2 linked regions of the Macaca mulatta genome follow. The protein of the gene in region 1 purifies or fractionates together with the protein of each later gene. This does not show direct contact. Links are inferred from orthologs where the notes say so. Each region holds a gene or a part of one and is shown on either strand. Other genes may lie near its edges.

Evidence for each region. Proteins that work in one complex are often made in the same cells at the same time.
Region 2: the proteins of PHLPP2 (region 1) and USP12 purify together in Homo sapiens (affinity purification with mass spectrometry; 3 studies listed by BioGRID and IntAct, with this or other methods). This does not show direct contact. The link is inferred for Macaca mulatta from reciprocal best matches to the Homo sapiens genes PHLPP2 and USP12.

What each region holds. Positions count from the first base shown.
Region 1 is NC_133425.1:68,204,020-68,207,530, forward strand, and holds part of PHLPP2 (PH domain leucine-rich repeat-containing protein phosphatase 2), read left to right. Parts: intron 1-1,905; coding exon 1,906-2,060; intron 2,061-3,511. UniProt on the Homo sapiens protein: Protein phosphatase involved in regulation of Akt and PKC signaling.
Region 2 is NC_133422.1:7,255,588-7,259,791, reverse strand, and holds the start of USP12 (ubiquitin carboxyl-terminal hydrolase 12), read left to right. Parts: upstream 1-1,396; 5' UTR 1,397-1,568; coding exon 1,569-1,616; intron 1,617-4,204. UniProt on the Homo sapiens protein: Deubiquitinating enzyme that plays various roles in the regulation of the immune response and inflammation.

The DNA of each region.
Region 1 (3,511 bases):
TATTCCCAAGATGGCAAATTATAATGATAGCAAATTATAATTTTTAATTTCCTTTCTAGGCCTTTCCTAAGTATGTAGTGAGTAAAATCATGGAATTCCACCAGATCTTTAACTTATTTATATATGCATAGTACAAAATGCTGTCAAAAATGTTTGCAGGTGCATTTTCCTCTGTACTATCTCTGGGAGGTAGGGCCTTAGAAGGAATTAAGACACAAAGAGATTTGACCCTTGAAGGAATTGAGATACAATGAGATTTAAATGACCTTCCCTCGACCGTAGTAGTCAGTGATAGATGGATGCATTCCATAACTTGTGTCCCAGTGCTTCTCGTTCTGCGTATGTTCAGAACAGCCTTGGTGAACCACTTCAAATGTGCAGTTATTGATGATGGGACAGTGACCTCTAATGCCGTCACAAACCATTATTCCTATATGCCAAGGATAATTAGTCTTTCAACTTCAACATCATTTCTGCTCTTTAGCCTTTAAAGAGCAATAAAGTGTATTGTGATTTCCAAATTCTCTTTTTCTTCTAGCTGTCTTTGCAGGATTTTGTATAAGGGATTGTTATAGTATAAGGACATACCATCAAAACATGAATGACTTCTCTTTTTTTTTTTGGAGATGGAGTCTTACTGTCACCCAGGCTGGAATACAGTGGTGCAGTCTTGGCTCACTGCAACCTTTGTTTCTCGCGTTCAAGCAGGTCTCCTGCCTCAGCCTCTGGAGTAGCTGGGATTACAGGTGTGTACCATCACGCCCAGCTAATCTTTGTATTTTTAGTAGAGACAGAGTTTCACCATGTTGACCAGGCTGGTCTCGAACTCCTGACCTCACATGATCTGCCCACCTTGGCCTCCCAAAGTGCTGGGATTATGGTGTGAGCCACCACGCCCAGCCATGAATGACTTTTCTAGTGATATATTGTTTCTTTTTTTAGATCAATTTTTATAACCCATATTATATTGGCATACTGTTATAGAACTATGAAGCTTGTTTTGATTTTATTATTTTATAGTTATATTGTGTTGGCTATAAAATCTGCTCTGAATAAAACTGGTCCCAGTTTTAAGTAGCTATTCTACTGCCCTTTTAAAGAGAAGTTAATTTTTTTTAGTGTCTTTTGCGTGTTTAGCAGTGTGCTATGTGCTTGGTTATTTACTTTTATCCTCAAAGCAGTTGAAGAAACCTCTGATAAGTAGCAGAGCTAGTGTGGCTACAAAAGGCCATGTCTTTTCATATCACACTGCCTCTTAAAGTTTTGTCCAGTTATTTCGAATCATTTTAAGATAACTCCTTGCAGCCGAGCGCTGTGAATCAGGCCTATAATCCCAGCACCGTGGGAGGCCGAAGTGGGTGGATTAACTGAGGTCAGGAGTTCAAGACCAGCCTGGCCAACATGGTGAAACCGTCTCTACTAAAAATAAAAAAATTAGCCTGGCCTGGTGGCACATGCCTGTAATCACCGCTGCTTGGGAGGCTGAGGCAGGAGAATTGCTTGAGCCCAGGAGATGGAGGATGCAGTAAGCCGAGATCATGCCACTGTACTCCAGCCTGGCTGACAGAGCAAGACTCGTATCTCAAACAAACAAACAAACAAACAAGAAGATTACTTCCTGCATGAAGTGTTAACTTTCCATCTTTAATGATACGTGTTTTTCTTTTTTTACCTTGTACTTATGGAGACTTTATAACTTGTACCCTTGTTTTTCAAGTAGCTTATGGTTTTAGGAAAAAGTAAAAATTAACTGGTATTTATAAATGAATAATTGGATCTTATTGCCTTTTTATTTTTTCCTGTCTTTTTAATTAGTGTCTTTTTGTGTAAATGCCATTCCATTCTTTGCTGGGTGATAGACATCCAGTACTAGCTCAGAAAGCTCTTCTCTTTGACGTTATTCAGGTGGTGTCTCAGCGAATCAGTACCGTGGATCTCTCGTGTTACAGCCTCGAGGAGGTTCCTGAGCATCTCTTCTATAGTCAAGATATTACCTACCTCAACTTGCGACACAACTTCATGCAGTTAGAAAGACCTGGAGGCCTCGACACACTCTACAAGTATGTGGAGAATGGGTTTCCAGACCTGTTAAAACCAACTCATAATCAGGATCTTATGACTTCTACCTGCTGCCATTGGATGTATATTCTAAAATTTCCCCTCCCTTTTCAAGAGGAAGTAAAAATTTTTATTCATGGAGTTCTCCTACCTGCCCTTTTCCCCCATAAAACAGAAGATTGATGTAAATGTTCTGTGAGCTTCTGTTGATCTGGGTGATCTTTTCATGTAAATCATTGACACTGATGCGTGATCTGCCTCCAAGTTACATCAAGAGATTTCGTATATGGGAAATTTTTGAATTAGAAGTATAAAATTTAAATAACGTAAAGGAGATAGGCCTAATTATAAGAATTTCACTCTGAGAGATGAAGCTGTATCTTCCCTTTGTACCTTCCACTGCCAACTCTTAAGCCTTTAGTCAGCTGTGATGCTTCTCTCTTCTAATACGGGAACCATTTTAGCCCTACAGTACTATGACCTACTTGTTATTCCATCTCCTTTATTAAAATATATACCCCATTCCCACCCTCCACTCATCCCACCTCACTCCTCCACTTAAAAATGGACGCAGTGAATAAATATGTGTTGTAAGTAATTGTCTGGGCTTCTGGAGGAGAAGGTAGAAATAGGAAATTAAAGCATTCAAAGTGATTTAAATTAGATGGTGACTAAAAAGATAATATACATTAAAATTACATATTTTACATCCTTCCTTAATAGCTAATAATTCTAGAGTAATATCCAGAAAATATTGTGTTTTGTTATCTCATCTGATAATTGTTTTAGAAAGTTTTTCAAGTGTAAGCCTCTACTTAGTAATGAGGTAGTTATTTTAATAATATTGGCTTGTAAAAATGAAAACAAGCAGTAATTTTAAGGAAGTTGGTTTCTAGCATTTCTTTGTGAGTTGCTATGAAAAAGAAGTAGTCCAGTTTGAGGGCTGGATCATAAATTCTGAATTTAAAGCACCAAGCCAAAGGAATAATTAGCAGTCACGGTTAGGTCATCTGAAAATCACAAGTTGAAAATTTGACAAAGAGAAGCATTAGAGTGAGGTATCTAGAAGCAGGTGATTCATATGTAGAAGCAATTGCTTGATCATCATCATGGAGAACATCTCAGCCTTACCATCTTGCACTTGTATAATAACAAAACATCCTACTCCCTAGTGGAATTACCAGAGTCTCTCATAAAAAGTTCTTACTAATGAAACCTTTAACATCTTAATTATAATACAATGGATATCAAGAAGAAACCCAAGAGATCCATTTTATAACAATGCCATCTCTGGGTAAGACAATATAGATACTTCTACTTCCATGAACAAAATAGAAGCACTAAAAGTTACTATTTTGTGTATCAGGTCACATAATGGTAAAATGCTGTCACATTCATTATTTTCAAGCTCTAACTGGTTTATTCATTTTATGTGACATTTGAGCCAACATAA
Region 2 (4,204 bases), on another chromosome or scaffold:
AGAGAGGGAAGCCCCTGGCTGGGGTATCAGGGCTCTCGGCTTCCATGGAGGCAGGCGCTTGGAGAACCAGGCCGGCTACCATGGGATTTAGCTATATTCAATCTGCATTCTCCCCCCAAGCAAGCTTATAATGGAATCACTATGGAAACAGTATTCATGTACCAGAAGTCTATTTTTCACTTAAATTTTGTTTGAATGCTTTGTTTTTGAGTGCTTTGAACCCGTGAGGTGAGGCACTTCTGATTTTACAGCTCTGCCTGAATTCAGATCCTCAATCCCACTGAATTAGGGGAACCCAGAAAAGTACCCCATCACGAGTTCACCCATCGAAGATGCCACAAGCTTTCTAACATAGTAATTTATGAAGTTATTCTACTCACTTGAGCTACTTTCTCAAATAGGAAAAAATAAAGCTGAGCTGCCAGGCATGAAGAACAGGGTGCAAATATGAATTTTAGAAAAGAAGAAAAGAGGAACTACCCATGCCAGTAGCCAGCACTGCCTAAGGATTTCTCACAGGGCATTCTTCTTGCTTGCGGGCTTCTTGTCTCTGGTAATATCATCATCACTGCTGGCTTGAGATCTTCCCTATTTTGCAGCTCAATGTGCAGATATTTAGAAGCCTGTTATAAATTTACGGCCAACAGGCCAGCAGGATTTGCTCCTCTCCTTCCCCCATTACTTATTTCTTCTTAATTCAAAGAGTTAAACGTGTAATTCGTTCTTTGCCTCTTCATTTTTATTTAATTATTTTGTCTTTTTCTAAGTTGTGTTTGACTCCGGTGATTCATCCAATATACGTAAAAAGAAACAAACCAAGTGCTTGGGTAACCCGGGTTATCTTAACTGTCAGAGCAGGTTTCCTCCCACTCCGCGTGTAGTTACCCAGATCATCGCCTCCGTTTTCTGTTTAGGCAGCGGGGGCTCGCCGTCCCCTCGCCCGCGGTGGGTGTCGCAGCTGGTCCCCTCGAGGTTCTCCCAGGTCGCCGCCGCCTCCCTCGCCCCCGCGCCTCCCCGCCGCGCCCCTTCCTACGCGGGGCCTCTAAGCGCCCGGCTCTAGGACCGCAGGGACGCGGGCAGGAGGCGGTGCCCGCCTTCGGTCCTGCCCTCTGCCGCGCGCGGGGTGGGGCCGGGCCGGAGTTCCCCGCCTCGCGCTCGCCGGCCGCGGAGGGGGCGCCGAGGGGTGGGCGGGGCTGCGCCGCCGGGCCGCGCTGCTGCCTGGCAGGCCGGGCATTAGGGCCTCGGCGGAGCCCGCTCCTCTGCGCGCTGGGCGGGGTGGGCGGCGGGCGGCTTCGCGGGCAGGCGCGGGCCCGGAGGCAGCGGCTGCGTCCTGCGCTGGGGCGGAGCCGGGGGCGGGCCGGCGGCCGGCAGGCGGGGGCTGGGGCCCGAGGCCGGGAGTGCCTGAGCGCCGGCGGCGACGACGGCAGCGGCGGCCCAGCGGGTTCGGTGCGTGGGTCCGCGGCGGCTCGGGGTCCGCCCGCGGGCTGCGGTGCGAGCGGGCGGCCCGGCTCTCCTCCTCCCCCGCCCGCCGCCGCCGCTGTGATTGGGTGGAAGATGGCGCTGGCCGGATGGAAATCCTAATGACAGTCTCCAAATTCGCCTCCATCTGTACCATGGTAGGTGCGGCGAGCGGGCGGCAGGGGCAGCCGGGACCTCTCGGACGGGCGGGCGGCGCTGGAGCCGCCTCTCCCGGTGGCTGCCCGCAGGGCCTAGCGCGGGGGCGGGCGGGCGGCCCGGGCGGGGGCGGTTGGACGGCGAGCAGGCGGGGAGCGCGGGGGTGAGCGGCCCAGGCGGCTGGGGAGGGGGCGCCGCCTGGTGGGCCAGGGCGGCGCGAGGGTGGCGGTGAGGGGGCGACTGTGCCGGACGTGGCGTGGGGCGGGCACCGGCCTCCGGGAGCCCCCGGCTGAACTGCTGGGGTGCGCTTGGGGCGCGGGGCCGAGAGCCGAGACGGGCTGGGCCTGTGGCGGGGCGAGGGGTGGGCGCGCGCGAGTCGGAGCGCGGCCCCGGGCCGGGGTCGCCGGCGAGGGGGCGCGGAGCCGCGCGGGCTGCATTTCCTCCTGGTCGCGCGCCGAGCGGGAGGGGTCCCCGGGCGGGGTGGGGGTCGGCGGGCAGGAAGGAAGGGTCTCGGCCGTGGCGGGCAGCGCTCTTTCCCGCCTGGGAGAGGACGGAAGTCAAGTGCAGATTTCCTCGCGCCGCTGGCTGGGCCGAGTCCCCGACCCCGCGCTGGGGGAAAGGGGCGTGTGTGAAGGTGGAAAGTTTAAATAAGTACTGTTGAAATTCTCTCCATTTTCTCCTCTGAGAGGCACATGCTCTCCCGTTTCCAGCCGTGTGTCCAGGTGGCAGTCTTGTCTCTGGGAATGCACGTTAATCTTGAAAAGCAGCATTAGCTTTCCTGTCATTTATTTACTTCAGCCCACCAGACACATCTGTATGTGGCTGGAGCTAGGTGTGTCTGTGCGGGGACCGCCTGCCAAGGCGACCGTATTTGTTTTCCCAGGGCGTTTAAATAGACTGTAAGGGAAAAGTGCTAATGCCCGCTGGAAGTCCCGAATTAAGCAAAACGTGGGCGCGTTTGAAACTTGGTGTTTTGTGCGTGGCCAGAAGGACCACAGTTTTCCACATGATGAGACAAATTCGTTTCATTAGCTCCTCATGAGCTTATATGTAGGGATCATAATTTATGAGTCATCACCGAAAAAAGTTGTTCTTTGCAACGTGGGCCTAGTGGTTGTTATTAAAGACTTCTGAAATCTTGTGCTTCATGTCTCACTGGTCCTATTTATGCAACTGATTTCATATAGGAGATCCCCAAGCAATTTTCCGTCCAAGGGTTGTACATTGTATATATTTTTCTTTAAGGAGTGGTGAATCAGATCTGAAAGATGCTTTAAAAGCAGATTCTCTCCTGCACGCTGAGGAACAGTACAAAAAATGGCTGAAATCAGGTGGACATAAAATCGACAGTATTAAAGAAATCATACTGAAGGATGAATCATTGAAGACTCCATTTCCCAACTGGATGATTGTTCTTTCTCACAGTTTACATTTTAGGAAAGCACTGGTATTAAATGGACTATGTTAAAATGATTTTCGAGGATTGTTTGGGCTAATTATTTTTAGATATGCCAATTATTAGTCAGTTTCAAAAGGAATGCGATAATTAGGTCTTTTACAGTGACAATTTTGCCAGATTGCTGAGCTACACACATTGTATGGGTCATAGTTCGTTGTCAAAGACTAGGATTTCAGGAGTGGTGTGATACTCTTGACCGACTATTCATTCACTCAAGTACTGTATATCAAGTATACATTTAGCAGCTACTAAGTGCTAGAGGCGGGGCTGAGTGCTGGGGATGCAGTATTGGTCAGGGCAGCCCCTGCTTTCATGGTGTTTACATTCTTGCTCATGGACACAAACAGTATTCAAGTAAACAATAAATGTATGCTGTAATCAGATTAGGACAGTGAGACACAGGGATTTGCCAGGGTCACACACTTAGTAAGTGGGATTCTGATCTCAAGGATGTCAAACTCAGAAGCTCTTTCTAGGGCTTCCACCCAGATACGTTAATTACATGTGGGGTGTGTGTGTATTGTTGGCAAATAGTGCCTGGCCAAATGAGATTGTTCCAAAGGTACTATTAAAATTCGGTGTGTCCGTATTCATATTTGAATACATTCGAATGCACCCCCAAACAGTGCTAAATATCTCAGTAGTTTGCAGTCTTATTCTTTAAAGAAAATTGCCATCTGTCCTCTAGAATCACAAAATTGAAAAGCAGAGATACCTCTTTGGCTTTGTAGGTGGTTTTGCTAGGCTTGGAACGCTCCTCCCCGCCACACCCCTTTTCCTTCTCGTCTGGAGAGTGTGTGTAGCTGTCTGTTAAGCAGGGAGCCTCCTTACTTCAATAATCCTACCCCTGTCCAACCCCACCCTCCATCCCCTTCCTACAGTTGAATGGCATTTTTGTAATCTCAGTAGCACCTTATGCTTACTGTGTAGTAAAATTTTCTTTGAACTCTTAATTATGAGGGCCTTGAAGGGGAAGGATTATCATTTACTTCTGCAGTTTGATCTGGAGTACCAAGTTCTGCATTCAGTATAAAAGTTTTCCAGAGTCCTTCCTGTCTGCTCCCGCTATGCCGGGTGAAGCAGGGATGATACGGCTGTGTGTGTATGGAATGTGGAGAGAAGATGGGCTGG